4 linked regions of the Notamacropus eugenii genome follow. The protein of the gene in region 4 purifies or fractionates together with the protein of the main gene of each other region. This does not show direct contact. Links are inferred from orthologs where the notes say so. Each region holds a gene or a part of one and is shown on either strand. Other genes may lie near its edges. The genes, in order: GEMIN5, PHF5A, RBM17 and SNRPB2.

Evidence for each region.
Region 1: the proteins of SNRPB2 (region 4) and GEMIN5 purify together in Homo sapiens (co-immunoprecipitation; 3 studies listed by BioGRID and IntAct, with this or other methods). This does not show direct contact. The link is inferred for Notamacropus eugenii from reciprocal best matches to the Homo sapiens genes SNRPB2 and GEMIN5.
Region 2: the proteins of SNRPB2 (region 4) and PHF5A purify together in Homo sapiens (affinity purification with mass spectrometry; 4 studies listed by BioGRID and IntAct, with this or other methods). This does not show direct contact. The link is inferred for Notamacropus eugenii from reciprocal best matches to the Homo sapiens genes SNRPB2 and PHF5A.
Region 3: the proteins of SNRPB2 (region 4) and RBM17 purify together in Homo sapiens (affinity purification with mass spectrometry; 3 studies listed by BioGRID and IntAct, with this or other methods). This does not show direct contact. The link is inferred for Notamacropus eugenii from reciprocal best matches to the Homo sapiens genes SNRPB2 and RBM17.

Annotation. Positions count from the first base shown.
Region 1 is NC_092872.1:383,300,402-383,308,031, reverse strand, and holds the start of GEMIN5 (gem-associated protein 5), read left to right. Parts: upstream 1-4,302; 5' UTR 4,303-4,405; coding exon 4,406-4,553; intron 4,554-6,082; coding exon 6,083-6,243; intron 6,244-7,076; coding exon 7,077-7,258; intron 7,259-7,630. Other genes in the region: MRPL22 (large ribosomal subunit protein uL22m), read right to left, coding at 838-886, 973-1,000. UniProt on the Homo sapiens protein: The SMN complex catalyzes the assembly of small nuclear ribonucleoproteins (snRNPs), the building blocks of the spliceosome, and thereby plays an important role in the splicing of cellular pre-mRNAs.
Region 2 is NC_092874.1:300,548,902-300,557,207, forward strand, and holds the start of PHF5A (PHD finger-like domain-containing protein 5A), read right to left. Parts: upstream 3,235-8,306; 5' UTR 2,881-3,234; coding exon 2,829-2,880; intron 2,323-2,828; coding exon 2,299-2,322; intron 1,794-2,298; coding exon 1,627-1,793; intron 1-1,626. Other genes in the region: ACO2 (aconitate hydratase, mitochondrial), read left to right, coding at 3,336-3,371.
Region 3 is NC_092874.1:178,123,244-178,130,593, forward strand, and holds the start of RBM17 (splicing factor 45), read right to left. Parts: upstream 3,256-7,350; 5' UTR 2,994-3,255; intron 1-2,993. UniProt on the Homo sapiens protein: Splice factor that binds to the single-stranded 3'AG at the exon/intron border and promotes its utilization in the second catalytic step. Involved in the regulation of alternative splicing and the utilization of cryptic splice sites.
Region 4 is NC_092872.1:591,276,771-591,285,045, forward strand, and holds the start of SNRPB2 (U2 small nuclear ribonucleoprotein B''), read left to right. Parts: upstream 1-5,163; 5' UTR 5,164-5,629; exon of another isoform or gene 5,630-5,642; intron 5,643-7,371; 5' UTR 7,372-7,396; coding exon 7,397-7,460; intron 7,461-8,275. UniProt on the Homo sapiens protein: Involved in pre-mRNA splicing as component of the spliceosome. Associated with sn-RNP U2, where it contributes to the binding of stem loop IV of U2 snRNA.

The sequences.
Region 1 (7,630 bases), about 210 Mb from region 4:
AAGCACTGTATCCACTGTTTATGATCAGTGCTTTTAAAAATGACAGCTCTGCACTAGTACAAAGAATAGGAAAGAAAAATAGTTCCTGCTCTCTAGCAGCCTGCATTTACTGAGCAGCGATCTCACATGTATACCAGTGACAAGTACAAAGTCATTTGAGGAGGAAACATCAAAGACTGAAGTAATCAAGTATGACCAGTCTGGAAGGACTTCAAGGATTCTGACAGGCAAACGAAGAAGGAATGCACCCCAGATGTATGGAGGGCTCCCACTGTCCTTGCCTACCAAGCAAACCCGAACGCAACTTTTCACTAACGTGACCTATTGTTACAAAGGTCTCTTCTACTAAAGCCAAACACATCCCTTTCCCTCTTTAAGAGCTTTTCTTAAAATCACTGATTCCAGACAAAGCCACTCCCAGTTCCAATCACTCTAGCTCCTAGACTTCCATTCTCTTCCAGTGCTTGTGATCACTACTGAAGTGGAAAGCCACCAGACTGGCCCCAGTAATTCGGGCAGTGGGCCGCGATGGCCCCTAAGGTCCTTCTAGGTCCGATACTCTAAATTCTAAGGCCCTTGTCAGCTCTTACACCCTACGTTCTACGTTCCTAGAAGCCCCCAGGGGACAGTCCAGGAGGTTATTTCGTCGGGGGGGGGGGGGGGGTTATAACCCCGCCCCCAGGCGCTTCAGTGAAGTCTGCTGATTGGTCTGCGGAGAGCCGAGCTGGCGAGGTGGGGTCGAGGCTCCGGGTAGCCCTACCGCCCCACGTTCTAAGACCGCTTCAGCCTCGGACATCCCAGGTTCCCTCCAGCTTTCTTCCTCTCGGGCCGACTCACCCCGCAGAACACGCCCCGCGGCTCCTCAGACTCCTCAGCCAAGACGAACCTGCAAAAGAAACAGAACCCGTCACCTTAGGCCGGCTCTGGGTCCAAGTGCTGGTTCAACTCCCGGCTTCAAGGCCGATTACTAACCTAAGTCTCTCAGCATGACAGCCGCCATCTTTCCGCTTCGCTCTACGGTAGTCGCGAAGGGTCAAGCTCCGCGGCTGGCAGAGCGCATGCGCCAAGATTTTTTTTTTTTTTTCTCCCCCCGTCACCCCCCCACCCCGTGTAGGGGAGGGGGAAGCTCCCACGTGGTCTGCAGATAACCCTAGCTCTGGGTCGTAAAAAAGTACCTGGCGTGCTTTCAGGAGGCACACTGGTGACAAGATAAAGCGCTCCAGAAATACCGGTATTTGCACTTAAAAATCGAATTCCTCTTTCCGTCCCCAATAGATTGTGGAGACGGATAGATCGTTGCACCTAGAATCAGGAAAACCCTAATTCGAATAAGACAGCCTCAATTACCTCATTTGTAAAACACAAACCGATAAATATTAAGTGCCAACTATATGCCAGTCACTGGACTAAAGGCTGGGGAGACGATTAGTAAAATGAAAAGCATTTCCTGTCTTCAATGAGCTTACAACCTAAAGGGGGAGACCCCCCAAAAGGAGACAGAAAAGGATTAGAGGAGAGGGGTGACGCCACCTGGGGGCCCGGGCCCAGGGGCGTCTTCTTCTATGGAGGTGAAACCAAGAAAGGGAGCAGATGCAAAGAGGAAAGAGTCCAGTGAAAAGGCGGTGATAATAATACCGACTTCCCCGGACTGCGGTGATGATAAACGGAAATAATGTTTGTAAAATGCTTTTCAAACCTTAGAACAGGCATTAATGCTGTGCTATTTAGATGAAGACTGAGGCACCTGGATTCTGGAAACTCATCAACATTGAAGGATCATTGGCTCAGAAAGTCCTTCAATCACTGGAAGTAAGACCTCAAGGCAAGAGACACAGAAAGTCAGACAAACTTTTAAACTGGCCCTCATTTCTTTTTTGTCTAATAGGCCATTGTGGTCCTCATCTGAACTAAAATTTATGCCTCTGTGGATCTCTTGTGCATGTGACAAACATAAGCTATCAATGAGTCATCTCCATTGCTGATGGGGTATAGGCTCACTTCCACATCACAGATCATTTCCAGGCTCTAATCCATTTTAAGATTTGGTTCTGGTCTGGACTCATGATTTAAATCACTCATACAAGTTAGCAGCCATTAATAACTTAGTCTGAAAATTACTGGGAGTGATGAGAAAATTGACTTTTCCACAGTTGCCCATTTTACCTCCTGGGCAGCTAGATGCTGAAGTGAACAGAGTAAGAGACCTGGAGTCAGGAAGTCCAGAATTCAAATTCAGACACTTAATAGCTATGTTACCCCGGGCATGTCATATAGACCCGGTTTGTCTCAGTTTCCCCATCTGTAAAATGGAGATAATAATAACACTTACCTCCCAGGGTGGTTGTGAGAATCATCTGAGATAATAATGGTAAATGGTACATAGTAAGAGCTATAAAGATATTGGCTAGTCCTGTATACTGAGCTGCAAAGTTTTGATTTCCCTATTTCTTTTGGGATCTTAAGTATGCCTTGTACACATGAACTTTGTAATGATGATAGATATGTTGGAGCTTCCTTCTTTACAGGGCAGCAGGATAATGGAGGAGCCCAAGACTGCTTGACATACTGGTGATCATTTGCAAGTGAGTTGTAGACAAACTTGGAGTTGCCTGAAATAGCTTGACCAGCCTTGAACTACTCAAAACCTGGCTCATTGTGTCTACAGACTCCCCCACCCCCAAACCTTAGCCCACCACCACCACCTCTAGAAACCATACATATCTCATTTTCCATTCCCCTTTGAGCAGCTGAGAACTCTCCCCCTCTGCTCTGATTGTGCAAGCTCTACTGAGACAATAAACGCTTCTGTAACCTGTGATTGGCCTCTGTTTCATTTCTGGCCTTTGTTAATACCATCTATCCATATGCTTATATATGTGTATTAGCAGATGATGCATGGATGTTTTCCCCTCGGAAGTGGTTTGTGATTTCATTGTGTGGGGAACTTTCACTGATGCACCTCCCACCCACCCTATACACCTATCTCCGAGGGTTTTGTGAGGATAAACTGAGATAATGAATGTTAACTATGGATGTACACTAAGCTAAGGTAATTAGGCAGTGGAGTGGATGATGCCCTGGCTTTAGGAGTCAGGAAGGTGAATTCCAATCCAGCCTCTGTGTGACCCTGGACAAGTCATATAACCCTTTTTTCCTGTTTCCCCATCTGTAAAATTAGCATAAAAATTTTATCTACCTCCCACCCACCCTATACACCTGTCTCCCAGGGTTTTGTGAGGATAAACTGAGATAATGAATGTTAACTATGAATGTACACTAAGCTGGAGAGTCTGGGTTTCTCGATTTTTTTTGTTCACAACTATCCCTAAACCCCAATACCTAAGACTTCTATAAGCATGCCATCTGTGCTCTGACTACAAGGGGATATTTGTGCTACAGAAAAACGGAGAGACCACACCAAGGTGCTACAGGGTGGTGACTGAGCCCTGGGCAACCTTTTAATTAGTGCTGTGGGAGGTAAGAAAGGTTCACTTGGAGAGAGGCCTGGAAGGACTTATATGATCTGATGCTGAGTAAAAGGAGCAGAACCAGGAGTACTTTGTGCACAGCAACGACCACAGTGTGCGAGAGTTTTTTCTGCTAGACTTGGAATTTCATAATAACACAAGAACTTATTAAAAAAAAAATCCCAAGAAATATGGAAGTCATTCGCAGAATGTAGCAGATCATGTCTGTGTGTGTGTTTTTGCGTATCATGTTTTGATTTGTTATATGATTTCTTCCATTTATTTTAGTTCGACTACATTGCATGACTATAGTGAAAATGTATTCAATAGGAAAGTATATGTAGAACCTATACAGAATTGCATGCTGTCGTGGGGAGGGAGGGGGGTAGTGGGGGGTAGGTGTAGGGGGGATAAAATCTTAATTTTATGGCAGTGATTGTAAAACATTAAAAAATAATAATAATAAAATTAAATTAAAAAAAAAAGAAAACCTCAAAACCAAAAATAAAAAAAAAAGAAAAGAAAGGTTAACTCGGGGTGCCACTGGGCACAAAGGCCGAAGTCCTAGAGAATTAGAGTGAATTACTGATGCCTTACGGGAATAGCTTTGGAAGGAAAAAGTCCTCTCTCAAACCAAGAAGAACCGGACAACAAACAGGTAGGAAGCCTCCTCTTCTCCCCGCCCCCCCCCCGCCCCCCCTCCCCCCCCCCCCCACGAGAGGAGAACGCGTTCTCTGCGGCCTGACCCTCAGGGCGAACCGTAGGAGAAGGGGTAAGCCGGGCCTGGGCGGGGGGAAGCATGAAGGGGGCGGGGCTGGAGGAGCTTGCTCTCTTTTCTTTGCGACAGGAGCCGCAGAGCGACGCCGCCGGCCGGAGCTAACGGCCTGGGAGAGCGTGGTGTTCACGCCGCCGCCTTCCTCCTGCCAGGCCGCGCAGCCATGGGCCCCGAGCCGCGGATGCTTACGCCCTCCCCCAACTGGTACTGCTCCCGCTCCAGCGACGCCGGCCCGGGGGGGCTGTTCGGGTTCGCCGCGAGGACCTCGGTCTACCTGCTCCAGATCGGCCTGGGCCAGAGCCCCTTCCACGGTAACCGCCCCGGCCCGACCCGACCTGACCCTGCCTGCCCCCTGCGGCCCCAGGGGGGCGAGATCTACCGGCCGCCTGGCCTGGCCCCTACCCCCTGCCCCGGGGACTGCCGTGCGGCCGGGCTCCTGAACCCGAGGTCAGGAACTTGTGCCGCAGCTTTTTTGTACAATTATTTCAGTTTTCCTGCGTTCCTGTGTAATCCCATGTAATTCTGCGTGCCTTTTTATTTTGCATTGAAAAACACCCCGAAAAAGTGGTGCTTAGGCTTCATCAGGCGGCCACGGCCACGGTTTAAGAACCCCCTGATGGAAGTCAACCTAAGGACAAGTAGATAGAACGCAGCACCGGGAGTCAGGAAGGAGGAGCCGAATTCAAATCCTGCCTCCGACGCTTGTACGTTGTCCATACCCAGGACAGGTCACTTCCTCTCTCGGCTTCAGTTTCCTCGTTTGTAAAATGGTGGTAGCAGTAGCACCTACCTCTGAGGGTTGTTGTAAGGCTCGTGAGATACCATGTTAGATATCTTTATTGATGTTTATTATTTGAAGTTGAATGAATGAATGGCCAGTCAAGAGGCATTTGGTAAGCAGCTGATGAGGGAGAAACTCTTTACAAAGTAGCAATTCCTGCCCATGAGGAGGCGTCCATTGTAAAGGCATTCCAAAAGTCTGAGTGCATTTTTAAGACTTTTGCAACACCCTATATTGTTGAATGAAAAAATGAATCCGTCAAACACACAGTCAGCGAGGCATAGCAGGTAGAGTCCATGTATTTGAGATGAGAAAACCTGGGTGAAAACTCACCTCAGATTCCTAGTGAGCTGGCAAAGTCACCACAAGCACCTACCTAACCTCCTTGGCGGTTGTCAGTAACACAGTATAAAACATAATGACAAACTGTTATTACTAATTGATTTATTTCTGGTTATATTGACAATGGGGCCAAACCAGAAAGACAAGAAGGCACTCTTTACCAAGAGAGAAAATAATAGGGGGCCCTGAGGTTATGTGTACATATTATTATTTTATCATCATCAGTATCCATCCCAGTGAAGAGATACAATGAATCTGCTTGGGGTAACTGCTCCACCCTCTCCTTGTGCTTGCTGAAGGTCTGTAGTGTAGTGGAATAAGCCCTGAATTAAAACCTTGATTATTACTTCATCTTTGTGACCTTAGGCAAATCATTTAACCCATCTGAGCTTGAGTTTCCTCATCTGAAAAATAAGGATGCTGGACTTGATCACCTCTGAGGACCTTTTGTCCTTTCAATCTGAAATTTTAAGACAGCTTGAAGAAGAAAAAGTAACTACCAGCTGATGATTAGAAACTTAGAAAAGTAAATCTGAGGCCCACATACATATAATCTGGTTGATATGTCTCATATAAGGCATATCTTATATGACAAAGCTTCTCTCCAGTGAAGTTGCAAAATAGGGTGTTTAATCAAGGTTGCTCCGGATGTTCATTTTGGTCAATAGCAGTAATTCTTATATGGCATTTTAAACTGATATTTGTTTTTTCTTATAGTCCTAGGAGAGTTGGTAGGACACACAGAAAGGGTTTCTGGCTTCACATTTTCTCACCATGTGGGTCCAATCAACTTCTGTGCCAGTAGCTCTGATGATGGAACAGTGAAAATCTGGGATGTAGAAAATAGAACAGTTGTGACAGAACATACACTCCATCAGGTAATATAATCCAACACTGTTTTCTCAGTGTGACTTTTGCATAATGAAGATTTACAGTTCCTTTGAGGCCATAGTTCAAATCCTGTTTCTGACAATTAACTAGCTGTGTAAGACCATGGGTAAGTCACTTATTTGCTCTAAGCTTATTTCCTCATCTGTAAAATGGGGAATAAGAGTAATAGTAGTCACTATCACAGGTTTATTGTGAGGTTCAAATAAGAGAATACATGTAAGGCACTTACTAAATTTAAAGTATTATAGAAATGAAAGTCATATGTGCTTGTACTATCTCGTTTGTCTGTTCCCACTGACTTTCTTATCACATTACCATTAACTATTAATTGTGTTATGACCTCATTTTCTTTGCTCCAGGATTTTAGGAATTTGTTTTATCCTTTTAGAAATGACACCATATACCTCTTCAACTATAAGAAAAGGATTGCCTGAATCAGAGGTGTCAAATATGTGGCCCATAGGTCACATATAACCCACAACACTTCCAAGTGTATCCAAACCATATTAAAATGTAGTTCCTATCTAGTTTTAATGCACTGATGTAGTAAAAGATGCTGCCATAGGATTCTTCTTCCTTTAGAAGTACTTTTCCTTTTGAGAAAGCAAAGAAGGGAAGATGGGACCAATAAATTTTACTTAGCAGGCCCTTTGTGTGTAAAGTTATATGGAGAAAATATTTGAACAGTGGTTAAAATTGTTCCTTGGATTTTTCTGGCCAGTTTCTCTATCCCTTTATTTGTTCACTGTAACCTTTTCAGTTTCTTTTACCAAGTTATTTAGCTAATAAGCTTCAAAATTGTGGTTTTTTTCCTTTAAAGAATACCATATCAGCTTTGCATTGGTCACCTAAAGTAAAGGATCTGATTGTATCAGGGGATGAAAAGGGAATAGTCATTTGTTATTGGAATAACAGAAATGACAGCCAGCACTTCTTCCCAGAACCCAGGACGATCTTTTGCATTACTTGTTCACCTCATCATGAAGATTTAGTGGCCATTGGGTATGTACTGTTGCATTTTGGAGGAAGGGGGTAGGGAGAGTGGTAACTTGTTTTTATTTGGAATATTTGAAATATTTGCTTTGATTCTTTGTTAAGAGTGTTCTTTTTTTCAAGAATCTCAAAGATGTTTGAGGCAGTCCTCTGGTCCAACCTTTGGCCCCAGTCAATGAGTTCTTTCTACAGCATGCTGGAAGCATGATCATCTATCCTTGGCTTAACCTTTTTTTGTATCATAGACCTCTTTGACAGTCTGGTGAAACCTATGGACTCATTCTCAGAATTTTTTGAACACATTAAATAAAATATATAAGATTCCCGAAGAAGCCAATGATATTGAAATAAAATTTTTTAAAAAACAAATTTGTAGACTCT
Region 2 (8,306 bases), on a different chromosome or scaffold from region 4:
TCTCCAAGCTTCCAGGTACAACTCATGAAATCTGAGGATTGTCTTGGTTCACTGCTTGTTAACCAAGTATGATGAGCAGAGTCAAGCAATCCCAAGCATTTTCTGAGCTGCTCCCTGAAGGCAACCCCACCTAATGTCATTACTTAACTATAATGGGGAAACCAAGGAGTGTGCAACAAGGTCCACAGGCACAGTGTCATAATCCAGGAGAATCCTCTCGGGGTGTAGGGTGGGCAAGTCCAGAATATAAAAGCAATAAGAACCCAGAACCCTAGAATCTGACTTATCCACAAATGTTTTGGGGTGGGGGGTGTCTATGGGAAAGCTGGAGTCATTTGGCACCATCTCAGTGGGATTTTCTATTATGGTGACATGGTACAATGTATTCATGATACATCTTGACCAAAAGATGGTTGGCTGGGGCGAGTCTGCATTTATAGGCACTGTAGGGGATCCCCGGTAGTTGAAGGTCCTGATTCTCAGTTAGCTTAGCTAACCCAGCACAGTCAAATGTGCTGAAGGGCAATGTGGGTGCTAACAGCACCACACACGATTAAGAGGGATGGATGAGGGAGAAAGCTGACTGTGGGGAGAAGGGAGAAATAACGGACCAAAATTAGGTTTGTAGGCGTCAGCGACCCTTCCCCTTCCCAGTAATTCCACGAGAAATATTCTCTAACCTAGTCAAGTGCTTTTCACCTTTTGGCTCCAAACAGCTGGAAGGAGCCTGAGCCACAGACACCGAGCAGAGGTTGGCCTTCTGCTGTACACTGCCCCCTAACAAGGTGTGAACTCAGACATGCCAGCAGAGAGGTTCCTGATGCCCTGCTGACACTGCCATGTCTCGCCAGGGGATCTCTGGTAGAGGAAACCGCACATATACCTTCTTTTATTTACTGTCACAAAAAGTAAGTAAACTATGAGATTTACTGGCAGAAAATGGTTTTGGGGGCAGGGGTCTGTCACACAAATACTGGGAAAGGTCAAGCCTTCACTGAGCTCCCTGACGGATGATCACCTTTCCTTTGGGACTTCCCACAGCCCTTTTTCTTGTGACTTTCCAAAGTCTTTGTATTTTAATGTTGTACATTATAGTTACCTGTGCATCCCCTAACTTTGGAGCTCTATTTGGGGAGAGGCCTTGTCTTTTCTAACCTTTATATCCCCCCCAGTGCTTAGCAGGTCCCACGTAGGCACTTAAAGGTAAAAAACCTGCCTTTGGCCCTGGTCCACATCTGGGCAGCAAGTGTGGCTGGGGGCAAGGTGAGCAAAAATGCCAAGAGGAAGAGACTTCCCAAGTAACAGCCAGCTTGGCAGACATCCTCCTCAAAATCAACAACTGTTCACTGCAGCCGTGTGCAAAGTGACCTGCCCACTAAGGGAGGGTGCACATGCTCAGTCAGTGAATAAAAGCAGCACTCTCCAAAACATGAGGCCAAGGTTATCAATGTTTTCATTATGTGTTTTCTGCTTTGGCAGCTGGTGCAAAGAGCTCCCAGGATTTGGAGAGACTGGTCTCTACCAAAGGAAACAAGGAAGTCCAGAGTGTCAGAGGCACCCTGGGAGCCTCTGATAGGGACTGCTAGGCACTACTAAGTGACAGATGAGCAGCATCAGCGCACTCACGTCTTTCTCCTGGATGGTGCACTCCTTGCAGTAATAGGCGTCCGACACTCCTGGGCCCCCACAGATCACGCAGCGGCCCTGGTATGAGCCATAGTTACACTCGTCACATATCCGGACCAATGTGCATGGACGGACGTAGGAGTCACAGATCACACACTTGCCATCACCTGCAACAACAAGACACTGTGAAGTTCACCTGCAAACACCCACTGCTTCAACTCCAGTCACTTCTGTCCTGTGGATAAAGCGACACCGGATTCTTCTATCAGATCCACAGTGGATGCACCACTTGGATACTCCCTAAGTATTTCTTCCACAAGAGAAGCCAACTGGATCATCCGAGTCCTGTCTGGGACGTTCTCCCCTTGCCCCACCCCCAACAAAGCCCTGGAGCATTGCCATGTTGTAACACCTGCCTTTTTTTATAAATGTGCCAAATTCCTTAAGGCCTTTTAAAATTCCTCCCAGAGCCCCCACTGTCAGGTGTCTAACTGAGGTGGCCCTGCTCAGACACATTAAGAATTGTTCGGATTCCTTTTTTCTTATTAACAAACACTTACTGAAGGCAAGAAAATGGCTCCAAACAGGCAGGCAACAGCACCGCCCGACCAAGTGCCCCTCGCCCTCGGGAGGTGCATCCCACCCGAGGGGGTGCCGGGGGTTCATACTCACATTTTTCACACAGCCTCCCGATGGCTAGAAGAAACAAAAGCGCCACAGGGTAAGAGTTGTGAGCAGACTTAGGGCTTAACAATTCACATACGCGGAATACTATCGACCCACCCGGGGAAGGCGGGGCCTGGGGCTCAGTCACTAGCACTTACTGAGGTCCTACCACGTGCCCGCCGCTGGTCCGGGCGCTTCTGCCTCCCGAGGCTTACACGCGGCAGTTCCAAGCCAGCCCCCGCCGAGGACCCCGCCCCCTCCTCCCCCCGCCCCCCGCAGTGCGCAGGCGCCCCAGATGCGGCCATTCCGGCCAACACCCCCGGGCCCAACGCGCAGGCGCCCTGCTCCAACCGAGCCACGCGCAAGGCCCCCCAGCTCCCGTTCTATCCAAACTGTCACGCGCCGCCTACCCTTCCCTCCATCGATTTGGGGCGGGAAAAGGCGACATCTCACAGGCAGAAGAGGAAGAGTACCCCAAGACCTAGCTCCCACCGCAGAGATGCCCCAGGGCTCGAGACGGGTAAATCCCGACTCACCGACACCGGCCTGCTTGCGACAGAAGATCAAATCCGGGTGATGTTTGGCCATCGCCTAGCCTTGGGCCGGTCGCCGGATGCAGCCGCTGCTTCCGCTCGACCTCTGACCTTCAGTCTCCGCCTCCCCGCCAATCAAGGCCTCTCCTCCACTCAAGTCCCCTCCCCCTCCCGCAGCCTTCAGGGGTGTGATGAGATTGAGCGCCCTCTGGGCGCTCCTCCGTCCGTCTCTGACCGGGCTACCACCAGGGACAGCGATGGCCTTAGGCTCGCCCGGTGCTGTTTCTCTGCCTTGCCCACCCCCACCCCTATTCAGGAGGCCCCGCCCCCGGCGCCTGGGACCCCAGAGCCCTCTCTCCTCTGCTTCTCTTCAGGCTCCGCCCACAACCCTTGTGGGCGGTTCCGAGGCAGGCCACGCCCCCGCCTCGCGCCCAGGCCCGCCCCCGGAGCCTTTAAAGGCCTCGGCGCGCGCGTCATTTTCACGCGACCACATCTTTGTCAGTGCACAAAATGGCGCCGTATAACCTGCTGGTGGCCCGGCTGCAGGTGAGCGCCTGCCAGTAGGCGGGTGGGCTAGCGTGCGGCGGCCTGGGGGGCAACGGGCGAGAGGGGGAGGGCGAGCGGGCAGGGCCTCACCCCGGGCCGGCAGGACAGGCAGGTGGGCGGGCTGGCTGGGCCGGGCCGGCAGGGCGCGGCGCCCGAGGTCAGGGAGGGCATCCCAGCCCGGGCTCCGCGGAGCCCAAGACAGGGCCGGGCGGGGTCGCGCCCGGGGTTGGGGCGGCTCCTCCTGCTCCTGTCTGGCTGTCGGGGCTCGGCGGAGCCGGTGCCGCCCGCGGCCTCAAGGTGAGGACAAGGTGACCGGGCGGCGGCCTGCGTGCGCCCAAGGTCACGGGCTCTGGTCGCCTTCCTGCCCCCTGGGCACGGATGGGAAACTGAGGCCTTCGGCCAAGCCGCCCTCGACCGGGGCAGGGGTCGGAGGGATCGGTGCCCCCGAGGGCCAGGCCCTGCCTCCCCTCGGGGCGCGTCCGTGGGCCAAGAGTAGACGCGAGATGGGGGTGTCCGCCGCTTCCGTTCCCCCCTCCCCCGTGGGGACCAGGTGCCCACTCGGACTCCGTTCTCCACGAAGCACCGCGCCCCCTCCGAGCCGGCTGTGATCCCTTCCCGTGGGGCGGAGGAGGGGGCAGCCAGCCAGCCAGGACCCCCGCCGGCGCAGCAGAGGCCCGAGCCCCCTCCCTCGTCCCACACCTGAGGACAGGGGCCGGGCCCCGCAGGAGAAGGAGGCTCTGAAGCATCCGCAGCTGCCCTGTTAGCGTTCGCTGATGGAGAGAATGTGGGGCCCTGGGGTTTGCTCTCAGGCGGTCTGAAGGCCCCCAGGCCCGAGGCTCAGACCGTGGGCTCCGGCAGACTCTGCTCCAGTGGATGCAGTTTTCTTGCCTCATAGAGCCACGCTTGGGAAGAGCTTTTCCTTTTAAAATGCTTCTGACTTCTCAAATAATTCCAGGCCTGAACAGACTGATCCTGTGGGAGGGAAAAAACTGATCATTTCTTCTTGATTCTGCCATGGCATGATACAAGAAAGGTCAGAATTATGGGGCTTGGAAGCTAGGAACACCCCTGCCCATTCTCATTCTCAACCATTCGTAGTCGGTGGGACCACGGGATGTAATGAGAAGAGTCCCGGACTTGGGGTCAGAAGACTTGAGTCCTAGCTGCTTATTAGCTGGCCCAACGCAGACAAGGCTCCTTGTACTGCTGCGTCTGTCTCGGGGTGAAGAGGAAAGTTCTGAGTCTCTGACAACAGTCTGCGTTGCCCTTGCTCTTCCTAGAGAGTTGGTGTGACATCCATCAGTTTAAATAACCTCTGTGGCAGGCACTGGATCATGAAGGCAAATTAAACGTCTGCTGTCAAGAAGCATGGTGTCTATGGGCTGTGGGAAGGGGAAGGACAAACGTAAAAAGGTCTGTGTAGTAAGAAGTGCTTGGCAGGTTTGTGGTGAAGAGGGTACTGAAAGTGACGAAGGAGACGAAGGATTCTGAGACCCAGGTGGTCAGCAGGTGCTCCCTTGGGCCTTTGGGCCCTGCCTGCCTCACAAGGTTTTGGTACAGATGGCATGAGCCCATGTACCTTTGAGTGCGGCCTAGACTTGTGGAAACCTGAGGTGTTTATTGTGGCACTCACTGCCTCATTCTTCCTGGCCTGTGGCAGCCTCTGGGATTCTGGCATGTTCCTTTACCTGCATCAAGATGGTGGTAACTTTGCTTACACCCAAGTGCATCCTCAAAGGTTGGATTCTCAGCCCTTTCCAAGGCATGCAGATGAGGCCTGTCTAAGTTGCAGGAGGGTGTTTGACAGCACTGACTGCAGCAATCACAGTAGAGAAATGAGTGAGAAAAATGGGATGGCAAAGACTGGAGAAGGAATCCAAAGCTTTGCCAGAGCCCTGGACCTGTGGTCTGAGGCCAGGGGGGCCCAGTGCTGGTGGATGGGCATGAGCACATCATACTTTCAGGTCTCCAGTTTACCAGCAGACTTGGTACCTCTCCCTGATCTCTTCTTTTCTGGAGGAGCCAGTCTCATCCCATCTCTTACTTAGTCAGTGACTTTGTGACAAGTGTTCCCTGATGAAAGACCGATTCACTTGGCAAGAGTGCATTGCTTTATAAAGACTTATGTCTTTTTCTGAACGCTGGAACTGGTGATTTGTTTTGTCTTTGCCTGGTGTATGGTGAGGGTTAGGCGAGACCTTATGGATAGTGTCACAAAACGAGCTTTTCCTCTCAGATTCCTTCCAACTCAAGAGATTCCAAATTTTGGTTTTGGATCATCTTCCTTCCTCCCTGTCCAGTCATTACATATGTACACCGGGGATACATTCTTGGATCTCCAGTGAGAAAGAAGGTCCTACTTTGGGAAGAGAGTGGGGACCCCCCCCCAATGCTTTCCCAGCCACTCTAAGGCAGATCTTGCCCCTATCTGTGGGCCCAGATAGTACAATGGAAAGATTAGAGTCCTGCCCCATTGTATCTTGGCAGCAGCCATGTAACCTCTTTGGCCCTCAGGGGGTTAGACTAGATCTCTAAGGCATCTTCCAACTGGAATATTTTATGGTTTTATGATGACACCTTGTGATACTATTATCTTGGTGTTCCGTCCATGTTGGAAACAAGCTAGAGATCAGGAACCTTGTGTTCCAGACTTGTCTCCAACACTGACTTAGCGTGTGACTTTGGGCAAATACCTGCACTCAATTGTGGCACCTGGAAAAACTGAATAATAGCTACTCCCACATAATGTGAGTGCTGGCTTGATTCGTCGTGTGCTTGTAGCTTACTAGAACATGATTATAAAAGGTCAAATATTGCTCCTGCCTTTGTTTCTGTTTTTTCTTTGAACTTTATTTTCTACCTTCCTTCCAACCCCCGTCCCCAACTTGTCTAGTCAAGCAAAACAAACTCCTGCATTGGCGATGGTCCCCTACAAAAGGCGTCTGCGCCTGCACGTCAGCGCCCACTAGGCCCCAGCCTGTGCCTGCAAGTCCTCAGGAGTCATCCCTGGTCACTCCATTGATAGGAGTCCCGAGGCTCTCAGAGCCTCCGCTTGCTTTCTTCTGCATCAGTTCATGAAAGCCTTCTCAGGCTTCTTTGAAACTATCCGCTTCATCACTTCTTACAGCCCAGTGGTACTCCATCACATCCTTAGGCCATGACTTGTTCAGCAGTTCCCTGGTGGATGGGTACTCCTTTGGTTTCTAATGCTTTGCCACTACCAAAAGAGCTGCTATCAGTATTTCTGTATATGATGAGCATTTGAGATGTTCTTCTTTCTTGGATCTCTAGTAGTGTTATCTAAAGACTGGCACAGTTTAGTGGCATCCAGAGTAGCTGCCTGGTGTTCTTTCTTTAGGAGTCCCTTCTGGCTTCGATGCAAGGGAAGCACTTTTGGTTCTAGACTCACAGCAGAATGACTTCGTGGCTTGGGAAGATCATCATTTTCTTGGAGCTGCTCATTCCACAAGTCAGGCCTCCTTAGCGGCTGTGGAGAATGTCTGCTCCCCGCCTCTCCATTTCCCTCCCTGGCCCAGGACCCCTTGGAGCCAAATCAGAGGACCTGAGCTGTGTTCTGGGCTGGGGGGGTTGGGAGCTCCTCGGAGGACAGGTCCTGTCTGATAGAGAGGAAGGAGCCAATGGAGATAGCAGTAAGGAGTTACTGGACAGAGAGGTGGGGGGAGGGGGGATGTCAGGGAAGACCGGAGGGGGAGGGGGAAGAGGAAGTAGCATTTGAGATGCCCTTTAAGTGTGTGGATGCACCTTGTTAGTGGTAACAGGCTATTCAGATATAAAGAATGATTAATAAGTGACATCCCAGAGCCCCCTTTTCCCAACATTGACCTTCATCTTTTTTAAAGGTCAGAGAAGGAGGTCCTAGGTAGGTCTCCTGTTTCCCTCACTGAGAGAAGGAGCACTCCTCAATCCTTTTTCCATGACAGCCGCCTGCTGTGTCTGGCATTGGGCTAGACTTCCGGTTCAGATGGAGCTTTTCTGTCTATCACAGTTATTTCTAGAAATATCCATGCCCTGCCCCTCTCCCCTTTTCCTATTTAAATACGGTTTCCTTGATGTTTTTTGTTTTTCCCTCCGTATCCCTCTCCCTCCCAGAGAGCAATCCCACATGACAAAACGAAAAGAAGAAAAGGCTAACTGATACATGGAAAGAAATCCGAACCTGTGGGCCGTGGGCCTCATTTGTGGCCCTCCACACCCTGCCTACCACAGGGCATGCCGGCTGGGGAGGCAGAGGCTGAGCTGGCATGTACCAGCCGGGGCCCTACCACAGCACATGCTATCATTAGCCCATGTTTAAAGTCTTAGGAGCCGCCCCACTCCTCACCACAGCTACAGGCTGCTCTTTGTGTGCCCCCACAGATCCCAGCATTCTTGGTGGCCCCCCTTCCCCCCCGAACTGCTTATGAGCCCCAACCACCATCTCAGTGCACCCTGTGCTTTCCTGCCCCCAGCTCTTTGCACAAGTGGCTCCTCTCTGCCCATCTTTGAAAACCCACCTCAGATTCTGCCCCCTCCAAGATGCTTTCTCTGAGGGGCCCCCCCAGCCTCTTTCTTGCCCGTATCACATGTTATTATGTTTTATAGTTGTGTGTATGTATTTGGGGAGAGCATGGGGGTGATGTTGGAAGTTCCCCTTCCCTGCTGTCAGCTCCAGGAGGTCAGGAGAGAACCGTGTTTTAGCTATCTTCTTCTCAGTTCTCTACCCACGCTGAATAAATGCTGCTTTACTATTAGGTTCTCAGTAAAATTCCGTGTAGAAAACCCTGCCCCTGCAGAGTTGGGTTGTCTTGGTTTCATTTTGGCTTATGGGAACTCTTCCGGAAAATGTGACTTGCCCCTGCTGAGCCCCCCTGAAGATGCCTGCCAGCTTTAGCCTCTGCCTGTTGCTTAGTGACCAAGGCTAGCTCTGTCGCCTGG
Region 3 (7,350 bases), on a different chromosome or scaffold from region 4:
CCCTTCTGCATCTCCCCTTCCTTCAACTACTCCCTACAGGGCACTCCACTGGAGAAAGCCCCTTTCAGGCTGATGCTGATTCTTCCTGATATTTGGGCACAGAGTTACAAATCCATCTCACTGAACTATCATTTCTGAGATTTCTGTCACATGCTTTGATGAATATGTGTGTGTGCGTGCATATGTATGCACATGATATGGCATTTCCCTCACCTACCAACACAACAACTGTTTTAAAAAAAAATTAGTCTGGAATGACATGTTTTTGAAGAAACCACACTGACTTTTTGAGATTACTTCTCCCTTATTGAGAAATCATCCATCCTTCTTAACATGTTCTAGAATTGTATCAGGAATCAAATTTAAACTCATGGGCTTATAACTTGCAGAGTTCATTCCCTTCCCCGCTCTGGACAATCAGAATGTCCTACGAGCCCCTTACTAAAGGCACCTCAAACTTAACATGTCCAAATTCATTTTTCCCTCCCAAACTCAATCCTATTCCAAAGACATGATCACCTTTCCAGTCATCTGAGTTCAAAACCTTGGTGTCACCATCACCTCTCCATTCTTATTCACCTCATATGTCTGGTCAGTTATTCACTGTTTTTTCTACTGCTAAAATATTTTCCCCCTTTTCAACACTCATACAGACATCACCCAGTTTAGACCCTCATCACCTCTTGCCTCGATTATTCTAACAGCCTCTAGATTACTCTTGACTCCAAACCATCCTTCACTCTGCTGATCAAAAGAGATATTTGTAAATCACTTGGCACATAGCAAGGTGCTTAATAAATATCTCTGCCCTTCTCTCCTACAAAGCCTAGGTCCAATAATCTCTGCTGCTGGCTGCTGAGTCCACTACAAATTAGTAAAATAATTTCAACTGGAATCCCACTGAAGCAAGGCAATTCTTTTATCTCCCTAGTTGAGTCACTATCCCAATCATAAAAGGAGCTTTCCCAAACATTTTCATCAGTCTGCAGGCCCCACCTTTTGGGCTGAAAATTTAATGTTTCACTGAACCTTCTTCCTTTCTTAGTCCAGGGCCTAAGGTTCTAGCCCTAGGAGTCATCTTAGATTCTTCAGTCTCATTTCCCTCCACCTCTCTCCATAGTCAATCTGTTGTCAAGCCCTGTCCAGCATCTCTGGAATAGGCCTCCTTTGCTCCTGACACTGACACCCTCCTCTCCTCACACCTGGACTATTGCAATAGCCTGCGGTTAGGTTCCTGGACTCATGTCTTTCCTCACATTTCAATCTACCCTCTACTCAGCTGTCAAAGTGATCTTCCTAAAGTACAGGCCTGGCTATGTTACCTCCCTATTCACCTCAATTCAGTGGCTCCCTACTACCATCAGGATAAAACATAAAATCCTTTGTTTGTGGTTTTTAAAGCCCTTCATAACCTTGCCCCTTCCTACCTTTCCTGTCTTCTTATATCTTACTAGCCACCTTGAGCCTGCCCTCCCCCCAAATAACCTAGTGAAGTGACACTGGCTTCCTTGCTGGTTCTCAAACAAGACCCTCCATGTTTCTGTATTCCTAACTCACGTTACTGTCCCTGAAATAGTAGGCTTCTTAAATCTTGTAGAACTCCAGAATCCTCCTGGAACTGTAAGATATCACCCCAGAGTGGCTGCTAAGCAAGAACATCAGTCCATTCTTTCAGTACTCTGAAAGCAATTGTTTGGAGTCCTGTAACTCAAAATCCTCAAAGTGAGCTAACTGTTCTGCAACTTTTTTCCTATTTATCTCTGCTCGATCATCTCCCTATTGGCCATTTTTGTGTTTTCCTTTCCAATCCAAAGATCATTTTCCTTAGTAGAGAAAGCAAAAAAAATAAAGAGTCTGGTAGCTCTCCTTTCTGTGGGTGGCCATCGTTTCATTTACTGAGCACCAGGCACTTCTTTGAACCTCTTTCCCCCCCAAATCTTGTAAGCTCCACCAACCCTCCCATAGTTCTCTGCACATACAGTAAGTCTCTCCTTTCCTTCTCATCAGAAGTATTTCTTGGGGTTTTCACAATTCATTCTTTCTTGCTTCTTATGGCTCCTAGGCAGGCTTTCCAGGTAAAATTTGAGTCTGTGGCACCCTATCCATGCTTTGTCAGAAAACTTTGAAACCGACTCTCCCAAAACAAGTCCACTAGGCCCGGCTTTCCTGGCCTAATCTATCATAAACGCTAAAATGGGGTGGCCACTTTGTCTAAGATTCCCCTCATTTCCCCCCAGCACCCAATCCTTTTCACTAGTGGCTTCGTTTTCTGAAGCACGAAATGAGGCCTTTGGGCTAACCCCACCAATTCCACAACGGCCTCTTCACCGGGCTGTGAGCTGCTTCTAAAAAGAAGGGTCTGAAAGGGGGAAAGGGGGAGGGAGGAGGAAGAGGGGATGGAAAGGAGGGGGGGAGCTGCAACAAGTGGGACTGAGGGGGGTGGCAGAAAGGAAGGGGGGGAGCAGGGGGAGGGCAGGAAAGGGGTGGGAGGGGGAGAAAGAAGGGACGGAGGGAGTAAGAGTGGGCAGCAGGCAGGGGCCAAGGGAGGAGGGGGGGGCATGGAGAGCGAGGGAGGGGCTGGGGGGTAGGAAGAGGGGATTCCAGAAAGAAACTAAAAGCAGGAGACTCCTCGCTCTTCGAAGGAAGGGGAGGGGAGCGGCGGGAAGGGGAAGCGGGCAGGGGGTGAAAGCAGGAAGGGGTGGGGGGTAAGCCGCCAAGAGCGGAGCGCCCCTTACCCTTGGAAGGAAGGGGATCAGAGAGGGCCGGGAGCAGGGCCCAGCAAAGACCTGGAGGGAGACGACAGGTGTCTGGGCCCCAGGCGGGCCGGCCAGTCTCCCTCGGCCCCTCCGCAGCGCGGCCTAGAGCCGGCCCGACCCCGGGGCCGGGGGCCGGCGTTCCCGCTCGGACCAGGCCTGCATGGGCCTCGGGGAAGAGCGGAGGGGGCCGGTCGGGGAGCCTGTGCGCGGGGCGGGGGGCCGGAGGGGGTTACTCACCCGGGGGGCCCGGCTGACTTTCCCCATGGGCCGGAGCGGCAGCGGCAGCGGGGCAGGAGGTGGCTGGGGCAGCCGAGCCGAAGTGCGCAAGCTCCGCAGCTCCACCAACCGCGTAAGGGCAGAGCGGCCCCGGAAGCCAGGCGGGAGGATTTTTTAACGCGAACGGCGTAAGCGTCAGGAGACGCCACGGCCGCGGTCCGTACGAATCCCTGCGCCAAATGCGTGGAGGAAGCGGCGGCTCGCGGTCGGTAGCGGGGAGAGCGCGCGTCAGGGCTAGGCGGGAGGAGCAGGCGTCTGCTTGTGGGGCGACATCTATCGGTGGGAGGCCAGGAGCACGCCTCACTCTCGCCTCTTTCCCATCCTCGCCCTAGGTTCTGAGCTTTGGGGAAGGACCCTCGGGCGAGCTCTGCCCCCAGTTGCGCAGGTGAGCGTTCAACAGGCCATCCCATCCCAGAGGTAAAACTTGACAGCACCTGGCCCCTTTCCTGCTACCCTCCCTCTGGCCTCGGTCCTTCTTTCTCTGATGGCTTTGGGCTAAAGTCGTTCAACACCCCCATTTCCCAGATGAGGAAACTTGCCTAGGATCCCAACACCTAGTAAGTGTCTGAGGCAGGATTCGAACTTTGGTCCTGATGACTCATTTGAGGAGGATGGTGCTGATTTCCAGCCTGAAGGGAAGAAAAGTAACCCCCACTGCCAGTCACTGGTCGTGCCCACGTCTTTTCTGTTTCTACAAACAACAGCTTTTTGGGGACCACAGCTTTTGGTCTCAGGTTTTCCTTTAATTGTTTAGGTTGCTGCGATAGCCGCTTCATATTTTTCCTTCCATTTGGCTGCCTTCTTTTCTGGAGGTGGCTTATTCTCTGCAGCAAAATCAGGCCACGTTTCAGTTTCTTTTTGCAGATGTGCCGCAGGAGGGAGAAATTGTGCTGCGGGATCAACCTCCAGGCAGCAGGGGGCGCCGTGTGAGCGAGGCGGAGAGGAGACAGTCTAGCTCCACGAGTGGGGGCGGAGCCTCGGCTCCTCCAGCCTCTACCTCCCCCTTCTAAGGGGCGGGGCCTCCCCAACCTGTCCTTCTTCTGGCTGTCCTGCCATTAACTCCTGTTTCCCAGTGTAGTTTTCTTTTATGGTTTCTTGAAATAAAGCCCTGGAAAGCCAGGCTTGAATAAAGTCCATTGGGGATCAGCTGGAGCCAGCTGACCACATCCCTCTGGCTCTCACTGATTGGCCAATAACAGGTCCCCGCCCACGCCTCTAGGTCATTGTTTGGGCTCTGATGGCTCAGAGCATGGCCAAGGCTTATGCTATGGTCTTCCCCTCCTTTTGGGAAGGCAAGCTAGGCCATCTTCGGCCTCAATTCTTACCTCGCCTTTCATTCCTGATCCGGCATTGCCTCAGACCAAGTGAGACCTGGGAAGGACCCAGAAAGGCCAAGGTCCCCCCTTGCGCCCTGGGCCAGCCCAGCCTGTGTCCTGCCAACGGTACCTCCGAGGGGACAGTGAGGCCCTCACCTCAATCCAGGTCACGCCCCGCTCCTGATATCCCTGGTCCTCTTCAAGAACCCAGGACGAACAACAACTCACTCACGCCTTGCAGTAACAGTACTAGTTCGAGCTGGCTTATAAGTTCACAGAATTCTTGTGAGACAGGTAGCACAAATAGGAGTCTTCTTTGTACAGGTGAGGACCCCGAGCCCTAAGAGGGGACTGGTAAGTGTTCCGAGCTCTGCACTTTGTAGGCAATCCAGGCTCTGGAAATCGACAAGATGTGCGCTCGCTGTGGGCCGGGCGCTGCGGTGAAGGCTGGAGATGACGAACCAAGGCGAGAACAGCCCTCGGCTCCCGGAGCTCCTAGTCCGGGTAACTCACCAGGCAGACCATCCGAGAGCAGAAGGCGCTAGGGACTGGAGAGACCAGCGAGGACCAGCCTTCTGGAAGAGGCCGGGAAAGCTGAGGTCAAGCAAAGAGAGAAAGTGTTTCAGGCTAGTGGAAAGTCATCAGGAGAAGGAGTGGTCTGTTCAGGAACAAGTAGGATGGAGGGGAATAAAGTTTAAAAAGGATAGAAAAGCAGGAAGGGGTCAGTTTAGGAAAAAGCTTTAATGACTAGACAGGAGGATTTTGTATTTAATCTAGGGGGCAGTAGAGATCCACTGGAATTTTTTGAGTAGAAAAAAAGCATCTTGGCAACTAAGTGGAAGATGAATTGAAGGAGGGATCACAGACTCCAGTTAAACATCCAGTTAGAAAACATCCTGTTAAGTGATGTTCAAAAGACAGATGGTGTCTGTTCAAAAAGAAACCAAGTGTCCGGTCCTAGTTTTTCTCAGGAGGAGGGAAAGGGGAACTCTTGGCAAATGGTCTCAAATTTTTCAGTGACAGTAAAAGATAGGATAGTCAGCTTGGAGGGTGGAGTTAAGGGTGGGGCAGAGAGGGTACCATGGAAGACTGCAGGAAAGATGAAAAGGTCTGGAACAGCTGCTTTGATAGTGAGATAGTAACTTGGTAAGGAGTAGAAAAATGGTTTTTCTGTATTGAAAAGGAACTATTATCCCCTAAGGTCAGCCCCTAGGCATAGTCTGTTGGGGCAAAACAGAAAAGGATTCCCCTGCTTGCCTGCTTGCTCCCTCTCCCCCTCCCTCAACTTTTCCCAAAGAATGGAAGTTCCATAAGGGCTGCTTATTAAATTTCTGCAGTTGAACATACCTGAGTTAGGTAATAGGGATACGTGGACAAAAACAAAAAACCAAAAACCGAAACAGTTTGTGCCTTTCAACAGCTGGGGGATGGGGTAGGAGCACAAAAGAGTATACTACAGATAAATGAATATACAAAAAACCCCAAAGTGACCTCAAGGTGGAGGGATACTAACAATTGGAAGAATCAGGAAAGGCCTCTTCTTGTAAAAAGTGGCTTTTGAGTGGAGTCTGAAGGAAGAAGAGGGACAGACTTAAGGGGATGGGATGGGGTGGTGGTGGGGGAAGTCTTTGCAAAGGCACAGAAGCAGCAGTCGGAACATCCTATTACACAGAATCTGTGAAGGGGAATAAGATGGAATCAGCCTGGAAAGACAAGTTTGAGCCAGATTTTGAAGGGCCTCACTTGCTGGACAGAGGCGTTTGTTTTCTTATCCTCCTAGGGACAGTAGGGAGCCACCCGAGCTTCTTCAGCCTGAACTGAGCCCAGACCTGAGTAGGTCTGGGATTTAAGAATATCAGTTTCTCAGCTAAGTGGAGGATGGATTGGATCAGTAAGAAACTGAAGGGCAAGAAACCAGTGAAGAGGCTATTTATTGTCAGCCAAGGCTAGAGGTGATGAGGCTTGAACTTGGGTGGTTGTTGTATGAACAGAAATAGTAATAGAATGCAGAGATATGCACCAATAGGAAATCACACCTGTACAAAACTTAGGTGAAAACTAGGTTTATTACAAAAGGAATGTGGAAATGAATGTGAAGCAAAAAGTTCACAATTATTACAGAAGTTTTCGTTTTTATAATTGTAGGACAGAGGGAGGAGGGGATGCCAGAAAAGAGTGTGACATGGGAAAGGGACCCATGCAGCAAGGCGGGGGAGGAGCAGGCCAAGGCAAAAGCCACATTCTTTTCCCTTGGGAATTGCTAGACTACGAAAGACAGGAGGGTCTGCTTATCTGCAAAGGACCCTGGCTGCACAAACATTGTCCTAGCCTGGCACAGACTTGCTGGCACCTGTTTTGCCTCTCAAGGACACACAGGGAGTCCAGCTTGGGAGTGCAATGACAAATTATGTCAGCTTCATCCTTGACACGTTTAGGGTTTCCTGCATGCTCTGGGTTCATTGTTTCTGGAAAATATGGCAACTCAAAAAGACAAGTTCAGGGGACCCCTTAACATCCCTTAACATGTGGTAGAGGCAGACTCAGTAAGACCTTTCCATGAATTGGAGATAGGGAGGGAGAGTGGGAGAGTAGTTGTGAACCTGGGTGACTGACCTCCCTTGGTGTCCTTTAAATAACTAACTTACTGCTTCTCTGGACTCTGGGCATTTTCATTGGCTATCTCACATGCCTGGGGTTCTCTAACTACTGCCTTCTTCAGCTTCCTTCAGGTCCTTGCTAAATCTCCCCTTCTGGAAGAAGTCTTTCATTATGTTCCATAATCTGTTATCAGTTTATCTTGTTCATATCTTTTTTTTACCTGGCTGTTTACATGTTGTCTTTTCCACTAGACTAAGAACCTGAAAAGGAAGAACTGTCTTTTGCCTTACTTTGTATCCCCAATGCTTAGTAAAGTACCTAGAATATAGTAGGTACTTAATAAATGTTTACTGACCCACTGGTTGTAGTGCCTTTAGTAGAAATTAGGAGAGGGGTTGATTGGG
Region 4 (8,275 bases):
CAGTGCTCAAAACATAAAAAGCAATCCATCAAGGAGTCAGAGTATTGACCTTTCTAACAATGATCAGATACCATAATAGGTCATCAGAAAAATCACTTTGTTTTTAGTTCATTCACATCAGCCCCAGGGCTGAAGCTGCAAAAGAACCTGTAGTGAGTTCTCCCAGGAAGAGCAAAGACTGCTATAGCCATCAATTTTTTCCATGATATTTTGCTCCCTAGATTCTCTCAAGAGATTAGCATCTTATTTTTCCGAGTCTCCTAAGGGGATGGTATTTCCAAGATGTTACTTTGGCGGGCTTCAGTAGCAGACAAGCAATACAATACAGAACACTTAATCTAAACCACCTGACAGTATCGAACAATCCCAATTTCAGTTCTTTTCACACCTTTCGCACTGCTTTAGATAAGCAATCAGTTTCCTCAAACCAGACAATATTGCTGCCTACCTTAATGGAACACATAGATTATTCCAGTCTGTCTCAAACTATAGCTCTCCTGAAGAGGTGTATCCTCCTGGTGTATGTGAAGGTTGGGCCAGGATTGTATATACTTCACACATCAGAGGCAAAAATCTGTTTTTATTTCTTTTTTTTCTCCGAAGCACTTAACCACAAAGAGAAAAACAGATTTTAGTGAAATGGATGGGAACAATAGTCTCGTTTTTGCTTTCAAAGTTTTTTCTAGGTTTCATTGAGTCCATAGCCAATGTAATTCCAACAATTCACGAAAAGATAAAACTTTGTTTTATATGGTGATTTGGTGCCCAACAATCATGTTTTGATTTGTTTAATGTTTGTTGTAAAAAATAATTTCACTGTACATAAATTTCTTATTGTAATCGCTATTTGGGGGGAAGGAGGCATAAACAAACTGCATGTTCCACATTTTGTTGCTTTATGTTATATAAATAAACCAAAATATTTATCCACCTCTGCTTTATGATGCATTCCCCTTTTAAACATTACCCTTTCTCCAAACTACCACAGCAAGATATTGGACATATTTAATAAGGCCAATAAAACAAGTGCAGATAAGCCAGAAAATGTATGTGGGTCTGGGAGTCACAAAGATCTTCATCAGTTCTCCTCCTTATAATTCAAGCTCCATAGCAGTTTCATTTCCAACTGTTTGTAGTAATATTTCTGTCACCCCCAAAAGAAGCAAGCTTTATCATGATCAACTATATGAAGCTTGGCTTGGCTAGAATATAATAATACTGCCTCTAGGTTTGGCTCAATAAAAGAAAAACAAATAACCTGTCAAGGGAAGGTAAATCATAACTTCTTAACTGAAATCAAAGAAGCCAAGATTTGGAAGAGACTTTAGAGGTCACTTACAAGGCTGTGAACAAGATTTTCCTCCTAGAACTCACCTAGTAAATAGTCATCCAGCATTTCCCCCAGGGGAGGGGTGAGGATAACTTTTACAGGATGAATATGGTTAATGCTATTTAGATAATACTACCACTGCAACAGAAGAGTACTTACTCTAAACCAGTTTCCCCTCCTGGGTTACTGCCTTGTCATGGCAGAGGGGCTTGTATACCTCAATGAAACTTTTGAGCTACACCATACCGGGTTACTTAAGATGGATAGGTCATAGTGGAGAGTTCTGACAAAAGGTGATCCAAGGGAAAAGGAAATGGCAAACCACTTCAAGTATCTCTGCCAAGAAAACCCCATGTACAATAGTGCAGGACAGAAGGGCCTGGCATGCTCTGGTCCACCAGGTCATTAAGAGTCAGATACAACTAAATGATTAACAACAAAACTAATTTACTGTGCTACTGCTCTGGGTGGCCTTTTTATTGCCTTGTGTAGCACTAGGACCCCCTTCATTTTTCATGGTGTAATTGGCCTATGGAGTTAGGCCTGTGAAAGTAGGATTAGGTGATGGACAAGGGCCTAGTATGGGTCTAGATCTATTTATTATTTATTATATAGTAAAACCACCAATGCAGCCCTCACTGGGGGAGATTCTTTGTTAAATAGGAAAAGGATTTGAAATAAATGTAGTGTATCATTTCTTTCTGCTTATATGTTGAGTTAATAGATTTCTTTGCAGAAGATTAGAACCATAACATTGGACCTAGAGATAGGGACCAGCTGTGATTTTACTGATACAGGCTATTGCAATCCTCTAGGCCAGTGGAATATGGGAGCTTCCCAAGCTGACTAAAGATGACCTTTAAGAACTAAATTGGCACACAGTAGGTGTTCAGTTCATCCTACTTACTCACTTTTTTTCCCCCAGATATCTGGGTCACAGGCTCTTGCTCTTTCTGCCCTGTTAAAATCAAACAGATCCAAACAGCTGGACCTGATTAAACTGAGAAGTTTATATGGGATATATATAAACCTGGAAAGAGAGACATTGAAAACAATTTGGTTGATGGAAGGTTAAAATATGGTCCTGTTTAAAGGATAGAAATCAGAGACAGGAAGATCTCCAGATTCCATTTAGTCCAAACCATATCTAAACAAGAATTCCTTCTACAAAATAACCAATGATGATTGATCACCCAGCTGTTGCTTGGAGATTTCCAGAGAAAATGAACTCACTACCTCCTGAGGTAAGTAGCCTATTTAACTTTTGTATAGCTTTAGTTCAGAAGTTTTTCCTTACATCAAGCCTTCATCTGCCCTGCCTCTTACACCTACTGTTTCTAATTCTGCTGTCTGATGCCAAACTAGAAATGTCTGTCTGTCTTTCACAACAGCCTTTGAAATACTTAAAAGTTGCTCTCATGTCTCCTGTTTTCTCTTCTTTGAATTAACCATTCCTAGTTTCTTGAACTGATGTTCACGTGGCATGATTTCAAGGATCTTTTACCATTCTCTTTGTTTCCCTTGTGGATATTCTCCAGTTTATCAATGTCCTTCCTAAAATGTGGCACCCATAACTGAACTTACATGAGGTTTGACCAGGAAGAGTAGAATGGGATTATCACTTCCCTAGTCCTAGACACTATGCCTCTCTTAATGTAGCTTAAGATGATACTATCTTACTTGGCTCCTATATTACATTGTTGACTCATCTTGATTTTGCTGTGTACTAAAATTTCCAGATTTTTATCATGTGAACTGCTATGTAGCCAGGCTTTCTCCATTTTATACTTGTGAAGCTGTCTCTTTGAACCCAAATGTAAAACCTTATGCAGCACCAAAGCGGGAAAGCTTGGAGGTACACCTAGCATTAAGCTACTTCCCTTCTATGGGACTCAGTTTCATCATCTGTAAAGTAAGGGAGTTGGATTCTATCATCTAAATCTTGAGATCCTATGAACATTAATGAATCCGATTAGAAATATAACAAGAGTTGTATCTATGCCTCACTTAATAAACTGAGAACTTCACCCATAAAGTTGAGAAGATGTATACTCTTCTTAGAAAGAGCCAAAGAGCTGGAGGAATGTAGGGGGAGGAAGAAAAGACTATATAGTAGCAAAAGGGATGGATTAGTGCTAGAAGTAAATATTGAGAGTTCAAGGGTAGGGAGATAAGAAAAGGGAGGAAGTGGCATTCAGATATTGGTCTTAACTCCATTTTTTTACTCCATAAGCTGTCAGGACCTAAATAGCACCCATTGGAGGTACAGAGGAATCATTGGTTGAATCCAAAGTATGGAGGAGCTTCATTGGGGGATTTATAAAGTACTTTGCAAATTTCAAAACTGGATCTAAATGCTAGCTATTATTCCCCCATTAGAATATATGCTCCTTGAGGGCAAAAGGCTCCTTGCCTTTCTTTATATCCCCAGGTTTAAGGAATATAGTAATTATTTAATCAACACTCTTTGATCAACTGGTTTGAGCCCCAGATTACACTCTTTTCCTGTGTTCACATAATTAAGGTCCTTTGTGAAATATATGACAGGTTCCAGGAGGAAACTGAGGTTTCCTATTGGGCTCCCAGGTTCAATGGATAAAAAATTTGAAGCTAGGGGAATTTTAGAGGTCATCTCCTCCTACCCATTTATTTTACCGTTAAGGATCTAAGACCCTGCTAGATTAAGTGATTTGCCCAAAACTGCAAAGGAAGTAAGTGGGCAGAGCTGGGATTAGAACTCGGATCCTCTGATTCCAGACAGAGCATTCCTTGTATCATCCCACTCATTAGACTAACAGGGGAAGTCAGGAAGAGTTAAGTCTGGAGAACAGAAAGTTGTTCTCTGAGGATCATAGAAAGTTTGGCAGTTTTCCCAAGTTCCCTCTGGTGCTGGGTAGAGTATACAACTGCCAGGCTGCATCTGAGATTTCCCAATGGGTGTTTACTTTGGTGAAGAGGTTCAGAGGATTAGCAGTGAGTGTCTCAGAATCAGATCTGTGGCCCAGAAACCTGAGTCCTAAGTTTACACAAACTGAGGCCAATCTTGGCCCTATTCAAGAAATATCACTGACTCCTTGGCTTCCGTTGGCCCTCCACCTCCAGGATCTCAGTATCATTTTTGTCCAGGTAACTACAAATGTGAGTGGAAAAGATTCCCCCACATCAAGTACAATGATAATAGCTAACTTTTATACAGAGCTTCAGTTTTTAAGAACACTTTTCACGCATTCTCTCGTTTGAGCCTTGAAGCCACCCGGTGATATAGGTGATGTAATATCCCCAGGGCACAGGGTTGGAGCTCAGGGCTTTTCAACATCAAGGCCAAGCTTTTTACCCATCAGTATTTCCCAGGTGGGAAAGTGTCTGGGGCAGGACCTAAACTCGGGTCTGGGTTCAAGTCTACATCTTACCCACTGAACTACCTAGCTGCTTCTGTCAACGTTCATCCTCAACTGGGAATAGAGCCTATCCTTCCTTTAAGTCCCAACTAAAATCCAGTGGTTCCCAACCCCTCTTAATTCAAGCGCCTTCTCTCTATCAATTATTTATTAATTAAAATAATTACTCATTGACTCTCTAAGTAGCTTTCTTTGTACGTGTTTGTTTGCCTACTGTCTCCCCGTTGGACCGTGACCTCCTTGAGGGCCCCTTTTAGTGCCCTCAGCAGTGCCTGGCCCCCAGGAGGCACTGGAGGGTTATTGATCGATAATAGTGAGGACGGCACACGCAAGTCCTCAAACGCCTTCCTAACAATTCGGACACGGGTTAGCCCACAAACACAGACAGGAACCACTGCCCCCCACGCACAGCCCAGATACGCAGGCCCTCTCTGAGGGGTCCCGACTCTCCGCGGCCCCCTGGGGGCTTTCCTGGCAGGGCTACCGGGGGGGTTTGGCCATCTCCTTCCCCGGCTCGTTTACTGGCGAGGACACGGGGGCCAATGGAGTTCAGTGACTTGTGCAGGGTCACACGGAGGCCAGCCTGGGAACGCTGCAGTCTCCCGGACCCGCTGCGCCACCCAGCTACCCCCGTTTTCTCTCCCATTTCCCCAACGCCGCTCTCCTACCCTTCCACTGGGACCCTGAGCGCAGGCGCTGCGCGGACTATACAGCCCGAGGCCTCTCGGGGAATCGACACACTCGGCGCTCGCCCTCTCCACGAGCCGGGCGCCCGGCTCTCGGCGCTCGGTATTTAATTGAGGTGCCTGTCTCTCCAGGTACTCCGTTTCCGGCCGTTCTCATTTCTCTTCCGGTGTTTCGGCGCGGAGCGAGCACTGAGAGAGGCAACTGAAGCCTTTAGGTAGGACCTCGAGGTGCGTGACGGAGTTGCCTCTTTTGTCTATGCTTTCTCTCTCACTGCCGGGGGCAGGCGCAGTTTCCCTGGGGATTGTCCTCTCCCCCTCTCTCCTGGCTCGGCCTCGCCCGCGTGGGGTCCGAGCGGGGAAAGCCCGCGGGCTCCGCGGCCGGGGATGGGAAGGAGAGGAGGCCGCCTTGGGACTGGCGGGGGCGGGGCCCTCCCGGGGCCTCCTCGCTCCGGACGCCCGCAGTTTAGCCAGGCAGCCCAAAATCGTTGAGCCCCTCCCGGGTGCGGGGCACGGTGCTCCCTGAGCCCTCTTGATACACAAAGAGGCCGAGACGGGCCCTGTCCGGCGTCCGGTGGGGAATTGGGCCGACAGACCGGCTGTGGACCGGATCCACGGAAAATGGGTCATACGGAGGCACCGGCCGTCGGGAAACCTACGGTGTGCCAGGCGCTGTGCCAAGCGCTACAGGGAAAGGCTTCCTGTAGAGGAGGAGGCGTAGGCTGGGACTTAAGGGGAGCTAGGAGCCAAAGACATCGTTCAGGCAGTAAATATGAAGGCCCTGCTGTGTGTCAAGCGGTGCGCTGAATGCCGGGCGTGCAGGAGGCGGGAGACGAGAGCTGGGGCTCTGGAGAGCTTACAGTATGGTGGGGGAGACACACACACACACACACACACACGTGTATATATACAGAATAAACCGTAACAGAGAAGACACTAGCATTAATAATGATAGCAGCTAACGCTTATGTAGCGCTTACTGTGTGCCAGGCAGGGGGTACAAACCCAAGACAGAAGCACGCCCCTGGCCCCAAGGAGCTTACATTCTGCTAGAAGAAACAACTGCATAGAAATATGTGCGGTGCAGACTGTATGCAGGAAATACAGGAAATAATGAGCAGAGGGAAGGCGCTGGCCTTGTGAGAGGTTAGGGGAGATGAAGAGGGAAGGAGTTCAGGCGTGGGGCACAGCCAGAGAATATGCCAGTTAAACCCAGAGGTTTGCCAGCTTCTTGGTTATAGCCCCAGCCGCAGAGACCTGGGGAGCAGGGGCCCGAGCTGAGGAGCACTAGAGGAGGGCGTCTTGTTGAGAGCCATTTAGTGACCTGGTACCCAGTCATGTGTATTTGGAGGGGGAAGGATCCTTCTTTGGGTGGGGAGAGAGTGATCCAAAAAGTAACTATGTGATATCTACCTTTCAGAAGCTGAGTTTTAAATTCACCAATTCTGGGCATGAGAGGAAATGACCCTACTTTATTTGAGTAAGCTCCTAGAGGTGGAGGAGTTTTCCACTTCTAGCTTCAGTCTATAAGGTTTCTTTGAAGAACTTTGGGACATAGGAGATATGGACCACTGAACATGGCATGTTGGCATCAAAGAAGGCTTTGTGCTGTATGAGCAAAGCGGAATCGAAGTAGCCCAGAAGAAATGCAAGATGCTCATTTTCAGAGAATCCATCCCAAATGTCCTGTTTATGCAGACCAAACTCCTCTTGGTCTGATCACAGTAGTACCAATGTAGTGATGTCATTTTGGGCCTCAAGATGAAGGACAACAACCAGCCAACTCAGACACCTAGTATAGTTACTTTGTTTATAATAGGAGCTTAGTAAGTGCTGGTTGATTCATTGATTTAGAAAATCAGGTGAGGTAAAATACATTAGAAAGAAATAGAGATGAATGCTTCACCAGTTTAAACTGCTGATCAGAGAATTTTTAAAATGAATTTTTTTTTATTTCTAGGCTTCTCTGAAATTTAATCCAAAACATGGATATCAGGCCAAATCATACAATTTATATCAACAATATGAATGATAAAATCAAAAAAGAAGGTATGTTTTTGTGTATCTGTTTGGCTCCTAGTGTTAGGTTATATATCTGGTTGGTTGATAGGAAATTGGCTACAAAATATAAACTCTGCATTGAATAAATTTTTATTTTTTCATATGTACCAAGTACAATGACCTCTTTTCAAAAAGTACTTTTTTTGTGTTAGAATTTGTAAACCAAGTTTACTTGTACTCTTTATGCTTTTTTCTTGTTATTCCTTAATGAGAGTTAATACTTTGATATGAGCAAAATTAACGATATTCTCTCAAACTTTTCCCATATAATCATACATTTTAAATAGCACTGATCTTGGATGTAGACAGCAAACACTACAAAAGGTTTCTTTAAACTATCTTTCCCCTCCTTTACCTCAGTTGTTTATTCCTGTGCTTGAAGTATTAGTTTAAGTCATTTGTCTATTTTATGTTACTTTCACTTAGGAATGTATGGTTACCCTTCTCACCTATTCAGTGATTCATTGTAGGTAACAAAGATTATAAAACAAAAGAGGGGTAAATAACAGTTTATTAAAACGAGACACTTCAGTCATACATGACAGTATATGGATTATTCCACACCCATAGAACCTCACCTCTGCAAAGAGAGGTGGGAGGTGCATCAAATCTGATTTTAACAATTTAAGACTAACTACAGATTGAATTTCAAGGACAGCTTGCCTCCTGCTGTTGCTATTTGAAGCTTGTAAGTGGAGAGACTGAATTTACTCTATCTTATAAAATCTTTATACTGTCTAGTCAATTATAATGGCTCTTTTCTCAGTGGGAGAGTCTTAATTGGCAGTGTAGCCAAAAAAATG